Linked DNA regions of Sus scrofa. The protein of the gene in region 7 interacts with the protein of the main gene of each other region in a pairwise test. Links are inferred from orthologs where the notes say so. Each region holds a gene or a part of one and is shown on either strand. Other genes may lie near its edges. The genes, in order: DMD, SPTBN1, SMC4, OLFM1, IMMT, FGFR1OP2 and TRAF3IP1.

What was found.
Region 1: the proteins of TRAF3IP1 (region 7) and DMD interact in a two-hybrid assay, tested with the Homo sapiens proteins (2 studies listed by BioGRID and IntAct). The link is inferred for Sus scrofa from reciprocal best matches to the Homo sapiens genes TRAF3IP1 and DMD.
Region 2: the proteins of TRAF3IP1 (region 7) and SPTBN1 interact in a two-hybrid assay, tested with the Homo sapiens proteins (2 studies listed by BioGRID and IntAct). The link is inferred for Sus scrofa from reciprocal best matches to the Homo sapiens genes TRAF3IP1 and SPTBN1.
Region 3: the proteins of TRAF3IP1 (region 7) and SMC4 interact in a two-hybrid assay, tested with the Homo sapiens proteins (2 studies listed by BioGRID and IntAct). The link is inferred for Sus scrofa from reciprocal best matches to the Homo sapiens genes TRAF3IP1 and SMC4.
Region 4: the proteins of TRAF3IP1 (region 7) and OLFM1 interact in a two-hybrid assay, tested with the Homo sapiens proteins (2 studies listed by BioGRID and IntAct). The link is inferred for Sus scrofa from reciprocal best matches to the Homo sapiens genes TRAF3IP1 and OLFM1.
Region 5: the proteins of TRAF3IP1 (region 7) and IMMT interact in a two-hybrid assay, tested with the Homo sapiens proteins (2 studies listed by BioGRID and IntAct). The link is inferred for Sus scrofa from reciprocal best matches to the Homo sapiens genes TRAF3IP1 and IMMT.
Region 6: the proteins of TRAF3IP1 (region 7) and FGFR1OP2 interact in a two-hybrid assay, tested with the Homo sapiens proteins (2 studies listed by IntAct). The link is inferred for Sus scrofa from reciprocal best matches to the Homo sapiens genes TRAF3IP1 and FGFR1OP2.

What each region holds. Positions count from the first base shown.
Region 1 is NC_010461.5:29,647,928-29,652,039, forward strand, and holds the start of DMD (dystrophin), read right to left. Parts: upstream 2,801-4,112; 5' UTR 2,642-2,800; coding exon 2,560-2,641; intron 1-2,559. UniProt on the Homo sapiens protein: Anchors the extracellular matrix to the cytoskeleton via F-actin. Ligand for dystroglycan.
Region 2 is NC_010445.4:86,620,317-86,623,816, reverse strand, and holds part of SPTBN1 (spectrin beta chain, non-erythrocytic 1), read left to right. Parts: intron 1-216; coding exon 217-973; intron 974-1,789; coding exon 1,790-1,992; intron 1,993-3,500. UniProt on the Homo sapiens protein: Fodrin, which seems to be involved in secretion, interacts with calmodulin in a calcium-dependent manner and is thus candidate for the calcium-dependent movement of the cytoskeleton at the membrane.
Region 3 is NC_010455.5:100,112,713-100,116,212, forward strand, and holds part of SMC4 (structural maintenance of chromosomes protein 4), read left to right. Parts: intron 1-1,312; coding exon 1,313-1,457; intron 1,458-1,727; coding exon 1,728-1,901; intron 1,902-2,332; coding exon 2,333-2,515; intron 2,516-2,665; coding exon 2,666-2,898; intron 2,899-3,414; coding exon 3,415-3,500. UniProt on the Homo sapiens protein: Central component of the condensin complex, a complex required for conversion of interphase chromatin into mitotic-like condense chromosomes.
Region 4 is NC_010443.5:274,253,241-274,256,740, reverse strand, and holds part of OLFM1 (noelin), read right to left. Parts: intron 3,411-3,500; coding exon 3,304-3,410; intron 1-3,303. UniProt on the Homo sapiens protein: Contributes to the regulation of axonal growth in the embryonic and adult central nervous system by inhibiting interactions between RTN4R and LINGO1. Inhibits RTN4R-mediated axon growth cone collapse.
Region 5 is NC_010445.4:58,573,772-58,577,979, reverse strand, and holds the start of IMMT (MICOS complex subunit MIC60), read right to left. Parts: upstream 2,801-4,208; 5' UTR 2,658-2,800; coding exon 2,613-2,657; intron 1-2,612. UniProt on the Homo sapiens protein: Component of the MICOS complex, a large protein complex of the mitochondrial inner membrane that plays crucial roles in the maintenance of crista junctions, inner membrane architecture, and formation of contact sites to the outer membrane.
Region 6 is NC_010447.5:46,796,807-46,799,995, forward strand, and holds part of FGFR1OP2 (FGFR1 oncogene partner 2), read right to left. Parts: intron 1,239-3,189; coding exon 1,125-1,238; intron 1-1,124. UniProt on the Homo sapiens protein: May be involved in wound healing pathway.
Region 7 is NC_010457.5:137,866,612-137,870,111, reverse strand, and holds part of TRAF3IP1 (TRAF3-interacting protein 1), read right to left. Parts: intron 2,850-3,500; coding exon 2,781-2,849; intron 2,368-2,780; coding exon 2,206-2,367; intron 614-2,205; coding exon 470-613; intron 374-469; coding exon 2-373; intron 1-1.

The DNA.
Region 1 (4,112 bases), on a different chromosome or scaffold from region 7:
AAACCCACAATCTCATGCTTCCTAGTTGGATTCATTAACCACTAAGCCATGACGGGAACTCCCAGATAGCTGATTTTTATACCAGAGTGAAAGTTCTGATTGGGGCTAGCCATTCATTTTCTAACAGTTTTTATCCAAGGCATAGAACTCCCATGATTATCGAGGTCATGTATGGAAAGATTAACTACGTACAAGTATTGTCCTTGTTGAAGATGAGTTAAGCATAAGCAGTTGTGAGAGGAAAAATTAAGAGATACTCAAAGTACCACACTATTAAGACTTTTCAAATGATGAATCAAGAACACCTGTATAAAAATCCATGTAATAAAGTATGACTATTTATTAAATTTTTATTTTAATTATCTTTGTATCTTCAATTTTTATGAGTTATACTTTTTAACAGTGTAAGAAACAATATTCAATAGTGCCACTGAAAACAATCATTTTATGTAGTTTATTTTTATAACCTTTGAGGCATTGTAAAATTTACCTTGTCATTTAACTAGGTCTAGGAAAGACTAATATGTGAGAGAAAGTCAGGGGGAGGGGTGGTAGCGGGGAGAATTATTTATTACCATATAACAGGTTCTTAGGTTTGCTTTTTTTTGGCATTACTGTTAGTCCCACCACATTATTTTTTTTCCTGTGCATAGAAATTGGCTACAAAAAGCATTTATTAATAGCAGATGCCCCTTGTGCTTCAGAATTAAAAACAAAATCAAAACCTATAAAAAAATACAGAAAATACGGGTTTCATGAAGGTACAGAAACTAAAATATTCAAAGCAATTTTTTTTTTTATTTAATGGGCTCTAAACCCTTAAAGGTAAGGGCTTATCAAAAAGAAAAAGGTGGGTTGTGAAAATAAAGTAACCTGTTGGACTTACCTACCACTCACCCCATGGGGAGTCTCAGTTCTAATAAAAGCTTAATTTCACAAATGTAAACAGCAACAACAACAACAAAATTCCATTTTAAAGTGACTCAAAAGTAATATCTGATGTGGAATTCAAAGTTATAGAAAGGTCAAATTTTCCTTAGAGATGGATTTAAACTAACCATTTCCACAACACAGGAACCCACACAAACCTAGTATTAAAAATAAATTTGGAGATCTTTTTCTCCTTTTCTCATGCATTGTCAAATGTAGAAGTAGCACAATATAAAAATACTTTGTAGAATTCTTAAATTAACACACTTTACCCAAAATAATACCCTGTTACAGATTTATAGTAAATGCCCTTCTGCATATTTCAGATGATAGCTACAAGGAACTTGTCTAATAAACTGTATAAACAATAGCAATTTTAAAGCTATATATGAAACTATCCAATGTATCTTTTCAAATTGCTATTTTAAGGTAATTACTTAAAACCAATTCTCTCATCCTATGTGTTGAATGAGAAGGGCATTCCATTTAGGAAAGTTTACCCTATTTCCCTTTAAAATCAGAGAAACATGTTAAGTAATGGCATGAGGAAAAGAAGATAAGAGAGATGTTAAAATTGGATACAACTATTCCTCCCAGGCATTGTCAGAGGTACCATTCTTTTTTGACTTAGGGGCACCATTACTTGCATATACAAGTTTACTCCTTGTGAAAAGAAATCCTGCTCTGAACTCCTTTTGGGGAGTTTATAACCAATTTTTGTTTCTTACTCATTTTTGTTTGCTTTCTACTGTGATATTTTCTTTAATTTCTTATCAGAAATACACTTGCACATTAACTTTATGCCTTTGTCTTCTTCAACATTCAACACAATTTTGCTGTCCACAATTTGGTGCATTTCCAAGGGTGAGAGGAAGGGATTCAAGCAGCTGAAACTTCATCCTTTGGTAAAGCTTAACAGCTGCTTCCATTTACAGCTTTAAAGACCTATCCTAGTTTACAAGTGTTTGCACATGTAGGCCAGACTACCAAATACTTGAAGATTCTTTACAAATGAAAGGGCACTGTGGTAACCTGCAAAAACCTTAGACTTTTTATTCCTGCTTCTTTACTGGTTTTCAACTCCTATAGTTATGCTCTGGGCACGCAAACCTTCCTGCCCTGCCCTTCTGACATTTTCCTACAAGTGAGGTGAAACTTCTCAGATTTCTTAACTCAGCACTTGGCCACACCCTGACCAGCAGGCCTTCCCACACCTCCCCACCCCTCTCTCCTCAAAGGCTATTACTACGACAATATTTCTTTTAAATTAGTCTGCTTATTCTTTTACATTTTTAAAATACGTTACCATCCTATAATAAAACCAATATCCCGAGGCTTTCTTGAAAAAAAAAAAAAGAGAGAGAGAGAGAGAAAGAAATTCGCCCACCAGTATCTACCTGACCCAAAAGAAAAACGTGAGTTTCGGCTTTTTCGAGGAGCGGCGCCCCCTCCTCCCTCGGACCCACCCTCCCAAGCTCGGGGGCGTAGTGATTGTCCCCTGCTGCTCCTTCACTCCTCGCCACAACAACTTTCCGAAACCCTGTACTAACTTCTAGGGCACAGCCTCTGCAGAGAGGAGCCGCAACGCTCGACACCCCCACGCTAAAAAGCAAAACAGCAAGGTCCTACCAGCGCGGCTCCTGATGACGTCGGTGAATCCATCTCCAGCGGCATCTTCCCCTGACTGCTCCGGACCCCTTGGCTGAGCCATAGCCACACGCCACGTGCCCTGGCTCTCCCACGCCCCAAACTTTGGAGGCAGGTGGGTCCGCGCGGTCTGCCTGATGCTCTCCAAAGCAGGTAGCGCGCTGGAGATCCGGTGTATGAGGGTGGATTTATCACCTTCCTGGGTCCTCACCCACGGAAATAGGGATGCGTGGGGGTGGGTGGGGTGGAGTGGGGCGGCGGGAAGGGATGGTGAGCTGGAAAACACACAAACACCAACACCTGGCTTGGTGGAAAGAGGGGGCGGTTAAAATGCCCAGCTCATGCTTGAGAAGAGGAAACAGGTGCGATTCCCACTTCCTGCCCCCAAAATAGAGTGGGCGAGGACTGGAAGGTGAAAGCTGAGGAGGGACCCGATGGTCAATAAATACACCAGCAAGTTGGAGACTCGCTTTTCCACGCTGCGCAGAATCGATGCAAAAACAGGAGCAATTAGGGAATCGCTTGCCAAAAGCAGCACATGAGGTCATGAATGATTTAGCATTGCCACTTATAAGATGACTACACTGAAGAGAAGGGTCACTGGCTTTAGCTATCTGGGTCACTCACACGTGTGTACCCCACCATCGTTGTATCCTGACTCTAATGCACTGACAAGAAGTGGGGAATACAGGCTGAGCATAATCATATTTCTTAGGAGATTTCTCCAAAGCTACCCACCCTTCTTTCTGTGTGTAATCACTCTCCCTCCTCCATCCCTTCCTCCCACCACTGAAGCTAGAATTAGATTGGACTATAAACAGCTCGTATGACATTATTTTCTAAAAATTTCAGAAGCTACTTTCATTTGGTTAGTAACCTTACTCCTCCCCCCTACCCCTACACATATATAGTTCATCCTGCATTTCTTCCTGCAGAAGCTCAGTCACCCCAAATCCTGCCCATCACCTACCAAAGACAAATTAACTTTACAAGAAGAGCTTGGCAAGGGGCCTAGCAACAGCTAAGGATTTTCTTTTCCTGTTTTCCTCTGCATTTTCATCCAGAGTAGATTCTTAGCCTCTTCTAAAGCAGGGTTCTCTACCATTGCTAGACAGTGGAATCATCTGGGGAACTTTACAAACCACTAAGGCCTGGTTTCCACTCCCAGAAATGATGATTAATTGTGCTGGACTCTCACCTGGGCATTAACAGTGTGAAAAGCTCTCCAGTTATTCCAATATGCAATCAAGTTTGAAAAACATTGTGATAAAGGGACTTACAGACAGACAATCGGGTGCCTTCATAAAGGCAATTTTATCAGTAACCCTCTTCCATTTCCATTATATTGCCTTAGGTTAAAAACATAATATATTTGCTGTCGTGTTTTCTATCCCCAGATTGGCCTTTTGCATAGCAGTGGATAATTTATGTTGACAAAAATGTTATGCTTCACTCCAAAATTTCCTTAAACATAGAACAACTCTCAGGATGGAGCCTCAACCAGGTATTTCTCAATTAGCATCAGCCTGAGATGT
Region 2 (3,500 bases), on a different chromosome or scaffold from region 7:
AGGGTTTTATTTTTCCAGACCATATGGTGTCCCCTGAGCTGTTTTGTTGATACTTGGTGTCCATATACTGAGAGAGGTGATTTTCCCAAAGGATGTAGTCAAAGCAGAGGTGGAGAGGGGAAATCCCAGCTTTGACTGTCACTGTCAATTTCATTGTCCAGCCGTGAGCTTCTGGCCTCTCTCACGCTGCTTTTTCCACCACCCCTGCACCCACAGGTGGAGTCAGTTCAGGGAGCTGGTGGACCGGAAGAAGGATGCACTCCTCTCCGCCCTGAGCATCCAGAACTACCACCTCGAGTGCAATGAAACCAAGTCCTGGATCCGGGAAAAGACCAAGGTCATCGAATCCACCCAGGACCTGGGCAATGACCTGGCTGGCGTCATGGCCTTGCAGCGCAAGCTGACCGGCATGGAGCGGGACCTGGTGGCCATCGAGGCGAAGCTGAGCGACCTGCAGAAGGAGGCTGAGAAGCTGGAGTCCGAGCACCCCGACCAGGCCCAGGCCATCCTGTCTCGGCTGGCCGAGATCAGCGACGTGTGGGAGGAGATGAAAACCACGCTGAGGAACCGCGAGGCCTCCCTGGGAGAGGCCAGCAAGCTGCAGCAGTTCCTGCGGGACCTGGACGACTTCCAGTCCTGGCTCTCCAGGACCCAGACGGCCATCGCCTCGGAGGACATGCCCAACACCCTGACCGAAGCCGAGAAGCTCCTCACACAGCATGAGAACATCAAAAACGAGATCGACAACTACGAGGAGGACTACCAGAAGATGAGGGACATGGGTGAGATGGTCACGCAGGGCCAGACCGACGCCCAGTACATGTTTCTGCGGCAGCGGCTGCAGGCCCTGGACACCGGGTGGAATGAGCTCCACAAGATGTGGGAGAACAGACAGAACCTCCTTTCCCAGTCCCACGCCCACCAGCAGTTCCTGCGGGACACCAAGCAGGCTGAAGCCTTTCTCAACAACCAGGTAACTCCCTCTCTGCCTGACCTGCCTTCCCATAGCCCCGGCTGTCTTTGGAAGCATTCCCACCTGGGCTGCTGGTTTAAACCTGGCCTCTGTGAAATTAGAAAAATAAGAGGCATTTGTTATTTCATGACTTCTAAAGCACTGAAACCCATCACAATGTAGGAGATAGAGTCGAAGTTTTCCAAAGGGGCAGTCTTGCCTTGCAAAGTACCGTTCTCCTCCAGCCTGGACGAGGACCTCTTGTGTTCACAGAGTGTCCTTTTGGTAGCTTATTAGATTTTTAGGCAACATTCTGTGGGATATTAATCCAATCTAATTAATCTAAAAGGTACAGTGGGGATTTCTTTTTTCTTTTTTCTGAATGGTTCTGTCTTCCTTGTTCTAAGAGTCAGGGACTTCCCCCAGTGACACAAGGCAGGGATTAAAGAAAAAGAGCTGAGGGTGGTCACCAGCATCGGGTTGATAATCGCTCTTAAAAGCTTTGGACTGAAGGTCTGTCACTCTTGCCTTACAGGCACACCAGCCGACCCTTGTGGCTACTGCACAAGCCTTTGTGTATGTCCCTCACTCATTTTGGGAAAAAAATTTAGAGCCATTAACCACTTAGGGAAATTTCAGTCACTTTTAATCCTCTGGGATTCTTCTCCTTCCCAGCTTTATGTTATCTGACTCCGTAGATAACTTCATTTAAGTGTAATGAAGGACATGTTGCATGGAAATGTAGGACGTAGGAAAGAGCGCTTTTGTTATTCTGAAATCGAGTTGTAGTTCGAGTTCTCATCCTGCTGCTATTGTGTTTTTTCCTTTTTAAATAAGGAGTATGTCTTGGCCCATACTGAGATGCCCACCACCTTGGAAGGGGCTGAAGCAGCTATTAAAAAACAAGAGGACTTCATGACCACCATGGATGCCAACGAGGAGAAGATCAATGCAGTCGTGGAGACCGGCCGCAGGCTGGTGAGCGATGGGAACATCAACTCGGATCGCATCCAAGAGAAGGTGGACTCCATCGATGACAGGTATGGTCCTGAGGTCCTTAAGGGCTTCTTGCAACCTGGGACTCTCCTGCGTCGGAATCATTGGCTCAAGTCACATGTCTGAATCACTGGTCAGTGTCCTTGGGGCTGTGGTTATAAATTCCCCATTGGGCAGGATTTGGGCACCTAGCAAAATTTAATCTACTCGGGAAAAGAAAGCCTGAGAAATAGAACCAATCCTTAACCTTAAGGCGTGTGACATGAGCAGCCGTGTGGTGTAAGCTGTGCGCTTTGAGAAGTGACACACAACATGTCACCCAGTAGGACCTCAAGAGCCAAGCGCTTCCCCAGCCAAGCCCACACTCAGCTTTATCCACACGTGCCTCTTCTGAGGCCCTTCAGGAGGAAGTGGGGAGAGAGCAAGGTTTGCTTGTCCTGGCTGAGCCACAAAGGAACATCATCAGGCCTTAGAAAATTGGCTTGGACAGTGCTGTAATGGGATCTTTTTCATAATAAGAGCAAAGACCCTTTCCGCCTTCTACTGGAGTCTCTCTAAGATTAGATGCTTTTATTTTATTTCTTTGCAGCTCTAAAAAGATTTTTCTCCTTAACTGAAGGCCAGTGTTCTCTGTTAGCCCCTTACCCTCTCACTTGGCCTTGGTTACCATTAAAGTAGGAGATCTGGGCAGATCTGACTTGGATGCACCGGCCTGGGCTGGTTTTGAGCCCACCACTTCTTGTCTGAGTGTGGCTTATCTGGGTCAGCCACTAGTCTCTGTTCCAGCTGATTTCTGATCCCAGTTTAGGCCGGATTTAAGGTCTCATTGTGAGACTGATGTCATCGAGAAACAAGCTCTTCCCCAAGGCTTCTCTGGCCTCCAAGTGCAGTGAAGAGGAAGAACTTCTTGCAGAGAGCAATTCCTTACTTAACCACATCCAAGAGGGTCTCCTGGGACCCTGAGCCAGATGAGCTTTTTGTGATACACAGTGGAGAGGGGAATTCATTCCTCTTTCCCCGTAAGGATTGAGTTCCTGGCTTTAGGCAGTCTGTCTTCTGCTCCGATTCAGATCCTAAACCTTGTGCTCTAAGGGTAGTACTATGGAATAGGGTATGAGGTATATTAATTATAGTCTTGCATCCATTGTTTTTAAAAGAGCTCCAAAAAAGAAAAAAAAAAAAATCTCTTTACCAAACCCTTCATACTGAGTGTGAGAAACAAGGATTGGGCAGGACATTCTTCACCTGGAGAAAAGAATTTCTTTTTCTCCTAATGTTAAATCTCTTGTTGTTTTGTAAACAAGGTACCCCACATCCCTCGGTGTTAGGTGCACACAGCCAGTTTCCTGGGGGCAGGCTGGGCCGTTGGGGACACGTGTGTTGAGGCCGGCATGCAGCTGCCTGGCAGCTTCCTCGGTTTGTTTATCTGTCCCTCGGTGCTGCAGCTGCAAGGGCTTGTTGGGAACAGGTGGTGTTGTCAGGACCGGAGACTCCTGGATATGAGAGAGCATTTCAGCAGCTCTCAGTTGTGGCCTAACCTTCCTTTTGCCCT
Region 3 (3,500 bases), on a different chromosome or scaffold from region 7:
ATGTTATTACCTAATAGGATTTTAATAGGTGGACATATATAAAAAGCATTCTGACCAGTTTAAAACTGATAAAGCAGGTATGCTTTAGCAAAGTGTGATTCTATAACTCCTCAGTTGTGAGGATATGGAAGTCAAAGTTTTGTATCTCTGGCTTAGAGGAGTAGGTATAAATCATTTAAATAAATCTAGGTCTTAAGAGAATAAGGATGAGCTCTCTTAGCAAAATTGCTGTAATTTAAATTTTTAATTATCCAGATTATTCCATTGTCTCAATTTTTTTTAATATTCTTAGATCTTGTTTATAAAAGTGTTTCTGAAATAAAGCTAAGTCTGTATATAAAATGTTTGGATGTAAACAAACATCCAAACATTTTAAGACAATTTTTTGTCTTAAAATTATAACATTGGCTGCAAATTGATTCTTTGGTTATTCAGTTATTGCTGTGTCTTTTGTTCAGCGGTAAGGTGCTAATAAATAATAAGCCTTTTGGTTTTGCCTAAACATAGTTAGCAAAGTAATTGTAACTTTATTAAGAGAAAATATAGTCAGGTGTGTGTGTGTGAGAGAGAGAATGTTGTGGTCCCAATCATCCTTCCATATCCATCCCCCTGCTCCTGCCCCTTGCCCTTGGAAGCACTTGTTTCCACTGACTTGATCCAAGAGGTGTTTGTTTATTTGAAGGTAATAGCTTCATGGGTGTAAAGATGTAAGAATCTCAATCAGACAAGGAAATGACAAAAATAAAATAATTGAGTGAGACAACTTTGCTTCATAGTCTAAGATCAGATGATATATAAAGGCTTATATAAGAAGTTTCGGAGTTCCTGTCGTGACTCAGTGGTTAACGAATCTGACTAGGAACCATGAGGTTGTGGGTTCGATCCCTGGCCTCGCTCAGTGGGTTAAGGATCCGGCATTGCTGTGAGCTGTGGTGTACATTGCAGACGCGGCTCGGATCCTGCGTTGCTGTGGCTGTAGTGTAGGCCGGCGGCTACAGCTCTGATTCAACCCCTAGCCTGGGAACCTCCATATGCTGCGAGAGTGGCCCTAGAAAAGGCAAAAAGACCAAAAAAAAAAAAAAAAAAAAAATTTCATTAATTTATACTGAGTTTAATAAAATATACAACATCCCACAAATGTTTGTATAAACATTTAAGAACTAATTGAAGGATTTTAGCAAATCAATTTTAAAATCTATGATAGAAAAAGATGTTGCATTAATGTCATGAAGTGTTGTTGACACTTCATGACAGAAGCAGAATAACAAGTTAAACCCTACCACAATTTTAATATATCATTTTGCTTGTTTAGAAATCTCAAAAAAGCACAAGACTCTGTCTTTCGCACAGAGAAAGAAATAAAAGATACTGAGAAAGAAGTAGATGACTTAACGACAGAGCTAAAAAGTCTTGAGGACAAAGCAGCAGAAGTCATAAAGAATACAAATGCTGCAGAGGTAAGTGGGGGAGAGAACAGTATTTGAAGCAATTAGGAGTTAATAGACATCAGTATCTTGCATAGTAAGCACTCAGGTTAGAACTTATAACTATATTAACTTTTATATGTACAATAAAAATGAGTGCTATATTGTAACTTTTATTTAAATAAAAACACTTAAAACGGAAAGGGCATAGGGAGAGATTGCTAACTGCTTCATTTTTGTAATGTGAAAATCCCTGTTCTATTTGGAAAGATCATATCTATAGCAGCTATTATTGATTTTTAGGAGTCCTTACCCGAGATCCAGAAAGAACATCGTAGCCTACTTCAAGAATTAAAAGTAATTCAAGAAAATGAACATGCTCTTCAAAAAGATGCACTTAGTATTAAGTTGAAACTTGAACAAATAGATGGTCACATTGGTGAACATAATTCTAAAATAAAATATTGGCAAAAAGAGGTGAGCTTGTTACTATTAGTTAATTTTAACTTTAAAATAGCCTTTATGAAAAAGGGTTGGGGTTTTTTGTGTGTTTTTAAGGTATGTTGTGATTCCATGATACATATAATCACTTCTCAGGTTTATAGGTGACATAATGAACAATACAAAGTTGTTATTATATATGGAAAAGTATGAGTAATGATGAATTAGTCAACATTTTCACCCCAGGGCTGATATGGAGAGTTAACAGAAAGTTACAAGAACACTTGGGAACACTACCACAATTTTTCTTTAAGTCCTTTGTAAAAGTGTTGATCTACAAATTAGTCACCACTCCTTAGAATACACCATTGTAATTTATAGGTAATTTATCATATTCATTTGGGGATTTTTTTTAACAATGAAATACACTGTGGTTTCCTAACACTCAACTAAATTAAACTTTTTAGATTTCAAAAATATCATTGCATCCCATAGAAGATAATCCTGTTGAAGAGATTGCAGTTCTAACTCCAGAGGATCTTGAAGCAATCAAGAACCCAGATTCTATAACAAATCAAATTGCACTTTTGGAAGCCCAGTGTCATGAAATGAAACCAAACCTTGGTGCCATTGTAGAGTATAAAAAGAAGGTACAAATGAGCTATTCATGTGTAATGGTCAGAAAATCTGTTTATTCCTTAGCCTAAATTGTGGGCTTTAATTTTATATAATTAGCAGCATTAATTCTCATCTCAAATGTGTAACTGGATGTTTTTCTCATAATAATATTCTCTTCATAGGAAGAGTTATATTTACAACGGGTAGCAGAATTGGACAAAATTACTTATGAAAGAGATAATTTTAGACAGGCGTATGAAGATCTTCGGAAACAAAGGCTTAATGAATTCATGGCAGGTTTTTATATAATAACAAATAAATTAAAGGAAAATTACCAGATGCTTACTTTGGGAGGCGATGCTGAACTGGAGCTTGTAGACAGCTTGGATCCTTTTGCTGAAGGAATCATGTTCAGGTTTGTAATTATGCTGTATACTGAGTTGTGGATCCTTCGGTTACATCTCTACATATTCTCCAAACAGTGTTTTTTAGGGGTGGGATGTGAAGGTTAGATCTATAACTTGTTTTATCTGATAAATACCAGTTTGCTTACATTATTGGCAATTGATAGCTTAAACCCTGTAAAACAGTAAATACTTGATTTTACAGAATATTTGTTTACTTCATCTTTTACTTTTTGAGCCATTTCAATTTAAGATCAGAATTTTAAAATTTCAAAGTAATAATTGCATTGAAAACAAGGGAAGATAGTAAAAACTGCCTATTGGCATACTGTTTAAATCGTAAATTTTTGGTAGGTGTTCCTATTCATCCTCCAATAACATTTTTATAAAATAACCTTCAAAGAGTTTAGATTTGTGAAAAGCAAATTAGAGATTCTCAAAGAAGCAGCCAGTTACCAGAAACAAATCAGTCTTAATAACTTCAGCTTTACACGTAATTTGACAAGAGATTTTCTTCATTATTTCAGTGTTCGACCACCTAAAAAAAGTTGGAAGAAGATCTTCAACCTTTCAGGAGGAGAAAAAACGCTTAGTTCATTGGCTTTAGTATTTG
Region 4 (3,500 bases), on a different chromosome or scaffold from region 7:
GGTGCAGGGCAGGGCACGGGGCCCCCACCTTCCACGGTGAGGCAGGGACACGGCTGAGAAAGGTGCAGTGGGGTGGGGGCGCTGGCTGAGCCACTGGCTGTGTCTGGTCTGCTGTGGCAGGACGTGACATCCCCAGCAGGAGGTGACCCCGGGGAGCTGGGGCAAAGGGCAAAGGGCTCCGAAGGGAGCAAGAGGGGTGGGGAGACTCCCCTGGGGAGGAGGGTCCAAAGGGGGCGGGGTCGGCAGCCCCCAGACAGCCCCTGCGACGACGGAGAGACGGCTAGAAGGGGCGCTGGCATTTCCTGAGCCGCGCGGGCTCTGGGCTGACCGCTGACCGCACGGGACAGTGCGGCTGCCCGTTTGGGAGCACTTGCCCTTCGGGAAGCGGGATTCGGAGGATCTGTATACCCCGGGTGGATGGCTGGACACTGTTTAGACGACAGGGAAGGACTTTTAAACATGCAGCTAAGCTCACTGCTGTTTGTGCAATGGCAGGGTTTTTGTGATGAGATGGCCTCCTTGGAACAGGGCCAGAGGCCGGCCGGTCCCCTCACTAAGGACTGATGTGAGCCATCCCGGGACTTCGAGGCCAGTAAGAGGATGGTAAAGCCGGCCCCCAGGAGGGTCACAGTCAGAGGTCTTGGGGTTCTGCACCCGGGAACTGGGTCCCTGGAACACACGTGGTCTCCCAGCAGGGGGGCATAGCCGGGCACGAGGACCGGGCTTCTGGAGCCCTGGGGCCCTCGGAAGCACGTGGCCCGGTCACCGTGGTGAGAAGGCTGCTTCCGGACCGGGTAGAAGACCGCCAGAGCCCAGCACAGAGCCTGGCACACAGCTGGTGCTTAGGGAAAGAGCTGGCTTGGTTCTCACAGCTCCGCACAAAGGCAGGGGGACGCGAAGGCCCCTTCAGGGGCTCCCTGACCAGGGAGCCCAAGGCATTCCCCGACACCCCACCCCACCCTCGCGGGCCCCAACCTCTTCGCTTGTTCCTGGGAGCCTCTGGCCCTGAAGCTGACATTGATTTCTGTTTTTGGAGGGAGTTACTGGTCTCCAGCGTGTGTGATCAAAATGGGTTGGAAGACTGGAAAAGACCAAAAGGAAACAAAGCAGCGCCTTTCCAGACCAACGGTGGGGCCTGCGGACGTGTCCCCTGCAGGCTGCGAGCTGGCAGCTGTGCAGAGCTCCTGGCTTGGGGCAGGGCTGCCAACTGCCCAAAGCTTGGGAGCGGACCCCCACGGCCCCCTGCCGGCCAGCGGCTCCCCTCCCTCCGTGCCCAGGCCCTCCGGCCGCCCTCCGGCTCCGCCCTCCCGCTCCCCCGGCATCCGCCTCGTCCATCACAAGGGCCCCTTTCCCTGAAGGTGATCAAGTCATCAAGCAGAAGAGAGACGTCTAATTTCCAAACGCATCCATCACCGCCTCGCCGCCTCGCAAACCCACATCCACGCGGCCCGGGGGCTTCTGGGAGCCCTGCTGCTTGGTGTCCGAGAAAAGGCAATTTGAAGAGCACTCACGACAACAAAGGGAAGTGACGTTGGATGGGGGACCCAGCGGTGCCTCTGGTGTCGAGTCAGGCGTGGAGGGTCCTCCAGCCTGGGGCTCGTCCCAGCTGTACCAGGCTCAGTGGTTCCAGCTCTCAGGTCCCAGCAGCCTGCTGGGTTTGTGCAGGGGGGCGGGTGGGGTGGGGGCACGAGGCAGGGGGAGGGTAATCGAGAGGGGCCTCAGCTCAGAACATCCACGGCTAATCAATGGCCTGTGGCTAATAAATAAAACCATTGTCCAGCCTTTGCAAGATCTTGGGCGGGTCACGTGGCCCTCCTGAGCCTGGCTTTTCTCATCGGCAGAGCGGAGACCACTGTGACCCGCTGGCTGGAGGGCGGCTGCGGGACCAAAGCAGGACGGGTAGACAGGACACCCCGGAACCCCCCAGGCCCCGCCGTCGCGGTCTGGTTCTCCCAGCCCAGTTACTGTAATTATCACCCATGGCTGCGGCGAGAGCAGGTGCCTGATCAAACGCGGGACAGAGTGGGGCTTTCCACGGGGACAGCACTGAACGGTGGCTGGGGTAACCACGGGCCAGTTCCATTGGAAACTGGCCATGCACTGGTCATTCATGGGCCAATTAAATTGTTAGAAAATGCCCAAGCACCAGCTAGCTGCCACAATTCCGAAAACAAAACAGAAAGGAACTTCAGCCCCCAAATACCTGCCCCTAGCTGTAGCCGGGGTCTGCAGCCTTCTGGACACTGCTGGCAAAACCAGGCACAGGCTCCAGGAAGAAGCTCAGGCCTGCCCGGGGTCGGGGGAGGTGCGGGGGGCCCCCTCCCGCCGGAAGTTGTCGGATAAAGGCAGATGCACAGGCCACTAGACAGCCCGACTCGGTCCCCCCCAGAAGGAGACAGTGTGCCAGAGACAGGTGCCCCTTCCTGTTCTAGACAGAAGCCGTCAGGCTGCCGGAAGGGCGGGAAGGGGTGGGGGAGGTACAGGCCAGAAAGCTCCAGGTCCCTTCCTACTAAAGGTCCTCCAGACGCCGCTCCGGGGATCTCAAATGTCTAAGCTCCTTTCTCATCGGCCGTTTTTAATGTTTATTTTCTAAACGTCCTGCCAGCAAGGGGCTGGAAAAGAAAGGCTCTGGACGGCTGGGTGCCAGCGGTAGGTGGGTGGGTCACCAGGGATGGCGCTGCCCGCCACTCCTCTCTTCCGCTGAGACCCAGAAGCTGGGCGTGTGGCACTCCCCTCTGGTGAAACGCTCCCCAAGGATGCTAGCCAGCCGCCTGTCCCCACACCCCAGAGGGACTCCAACCACAGAACCCAGCGCCCCGCTTCCTCATCCAGATACAACACTCGTCTCTCTCTCTTTCAGAGTTTTTACCCCAGGGGGAAACGTCTAGAAAAAAAAGAACGTGGCTTTTTTCCTAAATCAAAAAAGAACATGCGTTTCCATCAGCCATGAAAGGAATGGCAAATGAAACCCAAATGAGAAGTCATTAAAACAAGAGGGCCTAGCGGCGCGGGGGCAGGGCCGCCAGCCTCTGAAGGCTTCGGCCTAGAGGCGCCTCCGAGCCCCCAGGGAGAGAGCCCTGCCTGCGGGGGCGCGTCGCAGCCCACAGCCCCCATCACTGCCACTGTCCACTGCATGTGGAACCCCGCCCTGGGTCTGTGACTCTGGGTTGGCACAGGAAAATTCAGCCAGGGACCTGGGCCGCTCCCCAAAGTCCCCGGAACACCCCCCAGGGCCACCAAGCTTTGTCCCCCAGGACGGTCCAAACCCGACCCATACCTGGGCCTGAGGAAGAAGGCACTTACCCTGTTGTCACCTTCTGGGGCCAGAGGATCCGTCATCCAAGACCCAAACCTGGAGCCGGACGTCTTGACGGTCACGGGGTCGCTTATGCCCGTCAGCTTGCCACATGCTGGAAGAGAGGGCACGGCACGGAGGTGAGTGTCTTGGCCCGACCCCCACCTCTCCCTCGGCTGCTGCTCCTGCCCTGCTCGTCCCAGGG
Region 5 (4,208 bases), on a different chromosome or scaffold from region 7:
AATGGTGGGTGCCAGGCGGAGGGGTAGGCAAGTGACAAACAGACGGAGCACAGAGGATTTTTAGGACAGTGGAAAATACTCTGTATGATACAAGATGATGGATAAATGATTCGCCCATGTTGTCATACATTTGTCTAAAAGAATGAATGTGCAACATCAAAGGTGAATGCTGGGATTCCCACCATGGCACAGTAGGTTAAGGATTGGTGTTGCAACAGCTCTGGATGCAGCTGCAGCTCAGATTCGATCCCCGGCCTGGGAACTTCCACATGCCATGGGTGCAGCCAAAAAAAAGGTGGGAGGGGGAATGCTAATGTCAACTATGGACATCAGAGAATCATATGGTAGTGTATGTTCATCGATTGTAAAAATTTAACACTCTACTGAGGGGTGTTAATACTGGGAAGGCTATACATGTGTGGGGACACAGGATATGTGGTAAATTCCCTCCATTTTGCTAAAACTGCTCTAAAAAAATAAGGTCTTAATTTAAGAGAGAGAAAGAGCTAGGGAGAGGGGGAGAAGGGGGAAGAGAGTTCCTTGGGATACTTGGGTTCCCAGGGGTACAAGAAAAAGCAGACTCAACAAAGGAAAATGAAAAAGATGAAGGGTAACCTGGGACCCAAGATACTACATGAGAAAAGGGAAAAGAGCGAAAAGAGTTTCACAAAATAACACATCAAACACCATGGAATGAACGAGAAGATAAGAATAAACCAATGAATTTTACAAGACAGAAATTTTAGGAAGGTAAGAAATCTTGGTTGTAGGCTAGAAATGGATTCATATTTTAGTAGTAAGTTTTGACCAGTTTTCTTCTAATTTCCTAAATGGAATCCCATTAAGTTTTTAGAAAATATTTTGATAAAGGCAAGGAAGGAAAAAGTAATTTTGGACTTTACTGCAGACAGTGACAATGTAACCTGAGGGCAAAATAATGAAGAGAGTGCCATGAAAGGAGGGCTCCAGAGACAAACTTCTACAGTCCCGCCCCAAAAGGCAGCTCTGCATCCTGCCCCCTCCTAGCCCAACTGGGGCATCACAACAGGGCCAGACTCTCATATGGCCGCCATGATCTCTGCCCCCTGCAGTTAAGCCCATGATCCGAGGTTGTATGGCAAAAGGAGTATCAGAGATATAATTCAGGTTACTAATCAGATGACCTGAATTTAATCAGAAGGGGGTGATCCAGGTGGGCCTGGCCTAATCCTATAAACCCTTTAAATCTGGGTCTGAGGGGGAGTTCCCATCGTGGCTCAGTGGAAAGAAATCTAACTAGTATCCATGAGGACGCAGGTTCGATGCCGGGCCTTGCTCAGTGGGTTAAGGATCCAGTGTTACCATGATCTGTGGTGTAGGTTGCAGATGCAGCTTGCTGCAGCTCCGAATTAAACCCACTTAAACCCCGGAGGTGTGGGGTGGGAGGGAACAAAGACTTGAGCCCTACAACCACAACAAACTACAATTCTGCCAACAAACTACAAGAGCTTGGAAGAGAACCCTTAGCTCCAAATGAGAACCACAGTGGGGACAATACCATAGCAGAGAACCCCATTCATGTCCAGAAACGGTTTTGTTTTAAGCTGCTCAATATGTGGCATTTGTTATATAGCAATAGAAAACCAACACACACCCCACTTTCCTATGGAAGAGGCTGCTTCTCTTACCCTTAAAATGAAAGGGAAATAAGAAAACTTGAAAGAAAAAATTAAGTTTGATTTTTATGATTTCTAACTCACTATGTCTAGGGATTTTGCTCAATTGCATGAGTCACAGTACCTGTTTTGCAACATCACATTTTGCCAAAATACCAATTTTCTTTAATTGTGAGCAGTGGGAATAGGTTTACCTTTTTTATTTTTAATTTTAGCAAATTACTTTGACAATCATGCAGAAATAAAAGGAACTGGGTTTCTAACCTCCTTGAATGTGTGCCAAAGTTGTCCCAGCACCTGGAGACACAGGCTAATCTCAGAAATGAGCACAAGGTCATGTCGCCTAACCTTCCTTGAGCACCAAGAGTTCGAGCTCCATAAACTACAACCTTTCATTTTTGTTCAGAGAACGAAGAGCTCAAGAGGTGTTCTCAGCTACAAAAAGAAGGGCAATCCCTCCTCCGTGATAATTACAACCTTGACCCCTAAAACGCGGACTCCAGCAGTCCAAGAACGGCCTTACTAAGATGCAATAAGACAAGGCTGTGCGTATCCTGCTGGGAAGTGTAGTTTTTCCCTGTCGACCTTCAACCACCGACTGTGCGAAACCTATCACGCGCCCAACCGGCGACCCGAGCGCCAGTAGCCTCGATTGGTCCTAGACTGGGGCAGCGCAGGGCTGATTGGATGGCACGTCCCCTAGGCCGTGCCTCCCGTCCTATGCCCGCCTCCCCGCCACCTTCTCCTCATGCCCCATCCCGCTCAGCAATAACCCTCAAGTCATCCCAGTCTGGCAAACTCCCGAATTAACTGCTTCACGGGCCCACCCGACACTCTCGCGATAAAGGCGGCCCTGAGACACGCCTTTGTCCCCGGGCCTAGGCAGAGACAAAGCCTCCCCCACTTTCAGTAGGTTGCCCGTCACCACACACTCTCTTCCGGCGCCCTGATCCTTACCTGGGCGGTGGAGGTCACGCCGGATAAATGACAGGCCCGCAGCATCTCGGCGCGGCGGACGGCGCTGCGGGTCTAAGTGAGAGCAGGGGCGGCGGCGGCGCGAGAAGGGGAGACCGTGCGCGCGCGCAAGCGTGCTTGCGTCCGTGCCGCCTGTCCGCGCCCTGCGTACCGGAAGGGCAGCCACCGCCACTGCGCATGCGCAACCTCCTGTTGCCCCTGTCCAAGCCCCTCCGAGAGGCTGGGCTCTGTCGGGACGGAAAGGGCGCTTTCTCTTTCCGGGTTGCGCTTCGGGTTCTGGTCTGTAGCGGGAAGCCCAGGGTACTAGGTGAACTGAACCGGTTGGAGGACGTCGGAAACTGGGGCTTCGGTTCCTGCGAAAACTGAGCAGGTGTGATTCTTCGGAGAATTCTAGCAGGAAAGTGGCTCAGCCTTTTCCGTCGGCTGGATATTTCGTAGAAAGGAATGGATTTGCCCAAAGTTACGTAAACGACGGTAGTGTCTCGGTTTCCGCGTTTGTTTTGTTTGACAGTCCTTCAGGGAGTCATGCTTTTGAGAGGCTGGGTGAGAGAACACTGAGGAGACCTTTGTGCAAAATTATTTGTTCATGTATCTAATAAATAGCAGAGAAGGGATAGGGACCCTGATTCTTCAGGTTCCACAGTCTCTACTCCTTCCATATTAAACCACACTGCTTTCTCCACCAAGTTTGTATTTTAAAAAGATAATTTTGGCCACAATCTGTGAGATGAAGTCAGTGCAGAAACACTGTTCAAAGCATTCCACCGATTCTGTAATCACGGAAACATATGTTAAATATTGAACACTATTCAATACTATTAGTACTAGTAATGATCTTATCACAATATCATAGAAACTAAATAACTTATCTATTGCGTGTGTAAGGTACTTCAAGTCTTAACTAGATAGTTCATTGTAGTTCTCCCTAGCGGTAGACAACGCTACTGAATCCCATTTGTAAAGAAGTGACTTTGAAAATTATCTAAGGAGTTCCCGTTGGGGCGCAGCGGAAACGAATCCAACTAGGAACCATGAGGTTGCGGGTTCAATTCCTGGCCTCAGTGGGTTCAGGATCCGGCGTTGCTGTGAGCTGCGGTGTAGATCACAGACTGGGATCTGGCGTTGGTATGGCTCTGGTAGCTACAGCTCCCATTAGACCCTTAGCCTGGGAACCTCCATATGCCACCAATGCAGCCCTAAAAGTCCAAAAAACAGAAAAATAAAATTATCTAAAATCAAATGATTACTTATGTTTGTATAGGTTTACTGCTTTTCCGAATAATTTTGTAATTACATTATACTTGATATTTCACATTGCCATCACTTAGCCTCAAGAGCAGTCGCCCACTTTTTTTTTTTTTTAGTAATTTTAACAATTAAACGGCAGCCCTGCCAGCCCATCCCTGCCCACTGCTCTCATGCTAGCTGACGCCAGTGTGATGACTTTTCTAACACCTTGGCCATAAACCTCTCAATGTCAATGAACATCTCCTCCAGCCATGTATGGCACAGCGTTGGGCCTCAATATCATTAGCAACTTTTCCATCTTCAAGATTTCAAACTCCAAAATTAATTTCT
Region 6 (3,189 bases), on a different chromosome or scaffold from region 7:
TAAAATAACTTTTATAATATATTCTCTAGTGCTTTGTCTTTGGTCTTACTTTCGAGGCGTCAAAGGTATAAAACAGGGATTGGCATACTATGGCCTGGCTTGAGGCCTGTTATTGTAAACTAAACTTTAACGGAACACAGTTGAGTCCAATCCTATTCTTGTGGGTCTGGCTGCTTTTGTGTTACCATGGCAGAGTTGAGGAGCTGCAACAGAGACTGCCTGGTTCGCAAAGCTTAAGAGACTTAACTGTTTGCTACTGTACAGCACAGGCAACTGTATTTAATAGCCTGTGATAAACCATAAAGGAAAATAGTACGAAGAAGAATGTATATATATGTATAATTGAATCAATTTGCTATACAGTAGAAATTAACATAACATTGTAAATCAACTCTACTTTCATAAGATAAATTTTAAAAAAAAGATTTACTATCTGGCTTTTTACTGAAAAAGTTTCCTTACTTTTGTTATGAAGAATAAGAGAACATTATATGCTTAGAAAAGTCACATTTGGCCTTCTGTAACCAATTTCTCCACTATGATTTCAAAATGAAGCTTTTATTTTTATTATTATTGTCTTTTTAGGGCTGCACCTGCAGCATATGGAAGTTCCCAGGCTAGGGGTTGAATCAGAGCTACAGCTGCTGGCCTATACCACAGCCACAGCAACGAGGGATCTGAGCCGTGTCTGTGACCTAAACCACAGATCACAGCAATGCCAGACCCTTAACCCACTGAGCGAGGCCAGGGATTGAACCTGCATCCTCATCCTCATCCTTCGTTACTGGCAAGCCATGATGAGAATTCTAACATTTTTTTTTTTTAATTACTAAAATGAAGAAGTATATTCACTTAAGAACAGAAGCAACACAGGATTTAAAAAATCAATTTTCTCAATTACTAGTTTGTTTACTACTGATCCCAGACTTGCATTACTATATAAATGGTATTGCATTATATAACCATATAAGTAATATCCAAATTAAGAAAAAGAACATTACCAGTATCCCAGAAAGTATGTATTTAAAACTGGGATAAATAAAATAAGATAAAAATGGGATATATTTTCTGGCATAAATCTTTGTACAGACAGTTTTCACCTACATTTGCAATTTAAAACTTACTTCGAGTTGTAATATTCGTTCCTGTTCCTTGCAACCCTGCTGCTCATCGATTTCAATGGCTTTCCTCATTACTGCTGCCATTTCAGTTATCTGGTCAACATGTGCTTGTAATTCCTAAAAAAAAAAAAAAGAGAGAGAGAGAGATGGAAGTTGTCAATCAGTGAAATACTTGATTATTTTTATTTTTGGATCTCCTCTTTTTTTTCTTTTCAGGGCCACACCTGCAGCATATGGAGGTTCCCAGACTAGGGATCAAATCAGAGCTACAGCTGCCGGCCTACGCCACAGACACAGCAACACCAGATTGCAGCCGAGTCTTCGACCTACACCACAGCTCACCCACGGCAATGCCAGATTCTTAACCCACTGAGCGAGGCCAGGGAGCGAACCTGCGTCCTCATGGATACTAGTCAGATTTATTTCCGCTGATCCAAGGGGACACCCTAGATCCTCTCCTTTTTATAAAACCTGCATTGCTACTTAATATAAACATACTATCTTTACCTTGTCATTTAACATAAATGTAATATATCAAACAGATATTTATAAGAAAGTTGACTGACCATATATGTGTTTTTGAAATCAGATTTCTGTTGGGACTAGGATTAAGGATAAGCAGCACAATATAACTAAATCCATTAACAAGAAGAATATTCATATTTCATAGTTCTCTCACTGCAAATGATCAGCAAACTTTTCTGGGGGGAACTTACATACCCCAATGTCAAAGTAATGTGAAAGATAAACATTTAATCCCTCTTTTACAAATACTTTCTGTATTATCCATACCTAGAAATTGATCTCAACTCTATCTAGAATCTTTCTAAATTATAATCCTCCTCGAGAACAGGAACTGTGTACTGTTTATATTTGCTTATTATTTAATGTTAGGTACATAATAGATAATAAACATCAAGTGAAATGAAGAGAGTTCTGTTTTTAAGTATTAAAATAATAAATGACCTTCTTGCAAACTGTTCAAAATATAATTTTAGTACAGACATCCGCATTTGTTTGGCAGAGCAAGCAGCATAAGTTTCTTCCCATGTCATTATTTTACTCTTTCTATGCATACCTATAATGTGCCAGGCAAGTGTTAGGCAAAAAGAATACAAAGCCTGTTAAGGAATGTTCCCTGATTTCAAGGCGCTGAGAGTCAATGAAAGAGACAGATAAAAGACTTAAAATAAACAGAAACATGATTTTTTAAAAAATGAACTTATATATAGCCCACTGCTCACTGGCATTGAGGGTTATTTTGTTATAGTAAGGCCAAAACCAAAATATAAACGTTAATAGCTCCCCAGATAAACACTAAGTCGTATATACTCTATTTGTAAAAAGGACTTGAACAAGACCCCTCAAAACTACAAAACTAGTAAACTATGGAAGCAATATCTTAGAGAACAATCAAGAGTATCTTTAATAAACCATACATTTAATATCTTCTTAAGCAACAAAATATAGATTGTTATATTAATTTTCACACAACCTCTACAACGCTAGTACACAGAAGAAAGCAAAATAAAAGAACTATGCTGTTCAGTATGGTGTAAAATTACTTAAAAGTCAGGGAGTTCCCACTGTGGCTCAGCAGAAATGAATCCAACTAGTATCCATTAGGATGCAGGTTTGATCCTTTGCGCTGCTCAGTGGGTTAAGGGTCTGGCATTTCTGTGAGCTATGGTGTAGGTCACAGATGCACCTTGGATTTGGCATTGCTGTGCCTGTGGTATAGGCTGGCAGCTGTAGTTCGGATTCGACCTCTAGCCTGGGAACTTCCATAAGCTGCAGGTGTGGCCCTAAAAACAAAAAAGTCAAATACCTTTTAAGAAATTAACAATGTAGTCCCTCAGCTGCATCAAGTGACACTTCAAGTGCTCAAGAGCCACATGTGGCTAGTAGATTCCATACTGAATAGCATAAATAAAGAATATTTCCATCACTGCAGAAAGTTCTGTTGGACAGCTCTGGATTAGAGCTCTGGATTAGATTATGGTAGCAAGAATGATACCAAGACAAACATCTGTCATATTTTGTAAGTTTTTTTTTTTTTTGGCCATTT
Region 7 (3,500 bases):
CCTTCTCCGGCCTGTCGTGCTCGCGGCTCTTCTCCCTGTCGGGGTCCCGGGCGTGCTCCCCGTCTCTCGCCCTCCGCCGCTCCCGCTCGCGGCCTTTCCCCCGCTCCTTCTCCTTGCCCGCCTCGACCTTCCGCTCCCGCTCCCGCTCCGCGTCCCGGTCCCGGCCGGGCCTGGGCCTATTCTTGGCCCGCTCGCGCTCCCCTCCGCCGGCCGTGTCTCTCGCGGGCTCTTTACGTCTGTCCCGCTCCCGCTCCTTGGCCTTCTCCTTGTCCCGCTCCTTGTCCCGCGGCGGGCTCTCTTCTCTCAGCTCTTCTTTCTGGTTCCTCTCTCGGCTTGTACTTCCCGCGGTGACTTCCGAGTTTCTTCTCCTCTCCTGAAAAGAAAGGCCAAGTAGCGCTGCCGCTGCTGTATTTACCTGGACCACAAAAGGCCCCACGGGCTCAGGTCCAGACGTACCACCTGCACTCACCTCTTTACCTCTGGGGACCCCGGACTCTCCGTCCCTCATGCTCTTATGATCCGTTCCTCGAGGGTTCGCCGCCAGCGAGGGCCTTCCTTTCACGTCCCCCTTCTCTCCGGCCAACACTCTCTTCACGGCGTCCTCACTGGAGAGCTTACCCCGCGGGAGGAACAAGACGCAAGGTGACAACGACATCCGTGAGCGGAACACACCCCAATGTCGACGTGCAGAGCAGCCCGCCAGGGACGGACGTTAAAAGGAGAGGTTCTGCCGACAACGTGCTGCCTCGGCCCCAGCCGTGCCCTCGGGCGCTCTGCCCGCTCACCGCAGAGGCCACCGCGCTCCGCGAGGCCGGCTCCGTTCCACCCGAGCGGCCAAGAGCGGACACGTGCTGCTCAAGGGCACGGACGCCGGTCCACGCGGCCCAGCAGCGCCTTCCCCCTGGCTCGGGTCACAGAGGCCCGGCCCTGAAAGGCCCCTACGGAGCCCTCTAACCCGAGCCCCAGCCAGGGCACAACCACGCTCGACCGCCACCTGGTCCCTGACCCTGTGCGGCCGGGAACCCCGTCGCCCACACACTCACGGGTTCCACACGCACACGTGAGCGACTCGACCACAGGCAGGGGACACACGGCATATGGGCAAGGGGCCCAATACAGCCGTCAAAAGTTAGTGCACTGTGACAAGGATGCCAAGTCAGCCTGGGGGAGGGTGGACAGGCCAATCCCGCGCGGCTGCCCACTGCCCGCTGCAGCAGCGCCAGCCGAGAGCTCAGCAGCGTGGTGGGAGCGCGGCTGGGCGGGACAGGGGTGACAGCAAAGGACCGGGGAGGAAGCAGCAGCAGGTCTCAAGGGCTCCGTGAGCTGGGCCACGGAGCTGGGGCCACGGAGCTGGGCGGGGACGCGGGAGGAGCACCAGTCAGGTGTGCTTTCAGAGACGGGCAACGCACAGGGCCTGGGATGGGGGCCAGGATGGGGCCAGCAAATGGGCAAAATCAGCTTCTGCGTCCCCAGGCCTGGGACCCAGCCTGAGCCCCCTCCCACTCCCACGCTGCTGTGTGAGCCGAGAGCCGCCTTCCCCACCCTGGGGACATCGAAGGTCAGCCCCCCCTGCAGCCCATCAGCTCCGCGAGAAAGGGCCATGGCCGCTCCCCGGGGGCTCCTCAGCTCCCCCAAAGAAGGCAGGCCTTGGGGATGACCTGCTCCAGGGGTGCTGGGGTACCATGAGGCCAGAGAAGCCAAGACTCTAGCCCATGGAGAAAATCTCAGGAGTAACCAATCCAGCCCCTGCACAAGTGAGAGAGGTTCTAGAGAGGCGGCACAGCTCTGCAAACGCCCTGGAGGAGAGGGCGGGGCCGAGGGAGGCAGACCCCAGAGGAGGCAGGGAACAGGGACCTTCCACAAGGCCCCAAGGCAAAGAAAAGCAGCTCCTCGGCCACCCGGGTCCTGGCTGGAAACAGTCACCTGCCCTGAAAGGAGGCCCCAAAGGAGGAGGCACCCAGGGCCTCCAGCCACGTGTGCCCCGCCCAAAGCGCCCAAGTCCCTGCCTTACACTCCCGGCCACAGAGCTCACAGGAACACCCTGCGGTTTTAAACTACTTCTGTGACTCCGGGCAGGGTCAGGTTCCGAGCCGGCCTGGAGCTCCTCCCCCGGAACACCTCCCACCGTGCGGTCTGCCCTCCCGTCTGGGGTCTGCCCTCCTCCCGCCGGTGGGTTCCCACTCCGAGGGGGCGGGCAGGGGGCACCTTGCTGAGACAGCACTTTCCGAGTCTCTGGAGAAGCTCGTTGGTTTTCTCAGGCTCGTGCCCGGCCACGATCCGGGCCGGTTTCGCCGACAGCGGCTCTCCGGAGACCAGCACCACCACGTCTATGGCCTTCTGGAGGAAGCTAATTTTTGCATCTTTATCCTGCAAGATTTCCATATAAAAGGCAAATATTACAACACCTGAAGAGGAGGGTACGCTACCTTCAGTACATTCAACAGACACGGTTCCGGTTTAGATAAAAAGCGATTTTCAGATGTACGTCCAGTTTAGAGATACTGACTCTCTACAACAACAACAACCAGGAACCGAAGTCCAAGAAAGCTCTGCGTTTGGGTTGATGGGCTGGCATGAACCTTTAGAAGACTAATGCCATCTCTCGAGGATAAAATTCGCTGCCAGGGAGACCACGAAACGAGGAAGAGCAAGGGCGACCCCGGGAGGGACCAGCCTGGCGGTCCAGCCACAGGTCAGCACGGAAGCGAGAGCTGGCGCAGCGCCCGGCTCACAAGAGCCGCGTTCACGCAGGCGGGGCCAGGAGAGCCCCTCGGACCTACCTTAACGTTGTCGGACTTCATCTCCGCATCCGTGTAGAGGCCCTTCATGAAACCGGTCATCCGAATCACCTTCAGAGAGAAGGTGAGGCCTTGGTCAGCACCCTCGGGACAGCCCGTCCATCAGCCTCCCCCACTGCCCTGAGCAAAGGGCTGCCAGAACCCGTCCACGCGCAGGAGGTTGTTGACACACTTCCTCGACAGACACCTGCGTGTCTGCCACGGCGAGGCCACACCGCAGGCAGAAGCCCACCCGGTCCTCCCAGAGCTCAGCCTGGCTAGGGACCCCCAGGGAGCACAGGCTCACCCCCGATCCACGAGCAGGAGGGCCCCGTGGTGTCAGGACACACTTTCCCAGCCACTCACATCGAAACTGAGCCCAGAAGCTTACAGGGAACCGGGGGAGAGGTACAAGGAAGCACGTGCCGGACAAAAGAAACAGGCCCACAAGGTCCAGGGCCAAGAGGGTCCTGCTCAAAGGACCAGAACTGTGCGGACAGGAGGAGCCTGAGGCCAGGGAGTCGGCAGGGGCTGGCCTGCAAAGCCATTCAGGAGCACGGCCTTAGCCTAAGGACCACCAGGCAGCCCTGAGAGGTCCCACAGCAGGAACAGCCTCTTATGAGGGTCCCTCAGGACAGGAAGGAGGATGAAGTTTGGAAAGGAGAACTCCCAGGGGGGGTTTCTCCTCATCACCGTCACTCCCTTCCAGGGACGGGGGTGCTC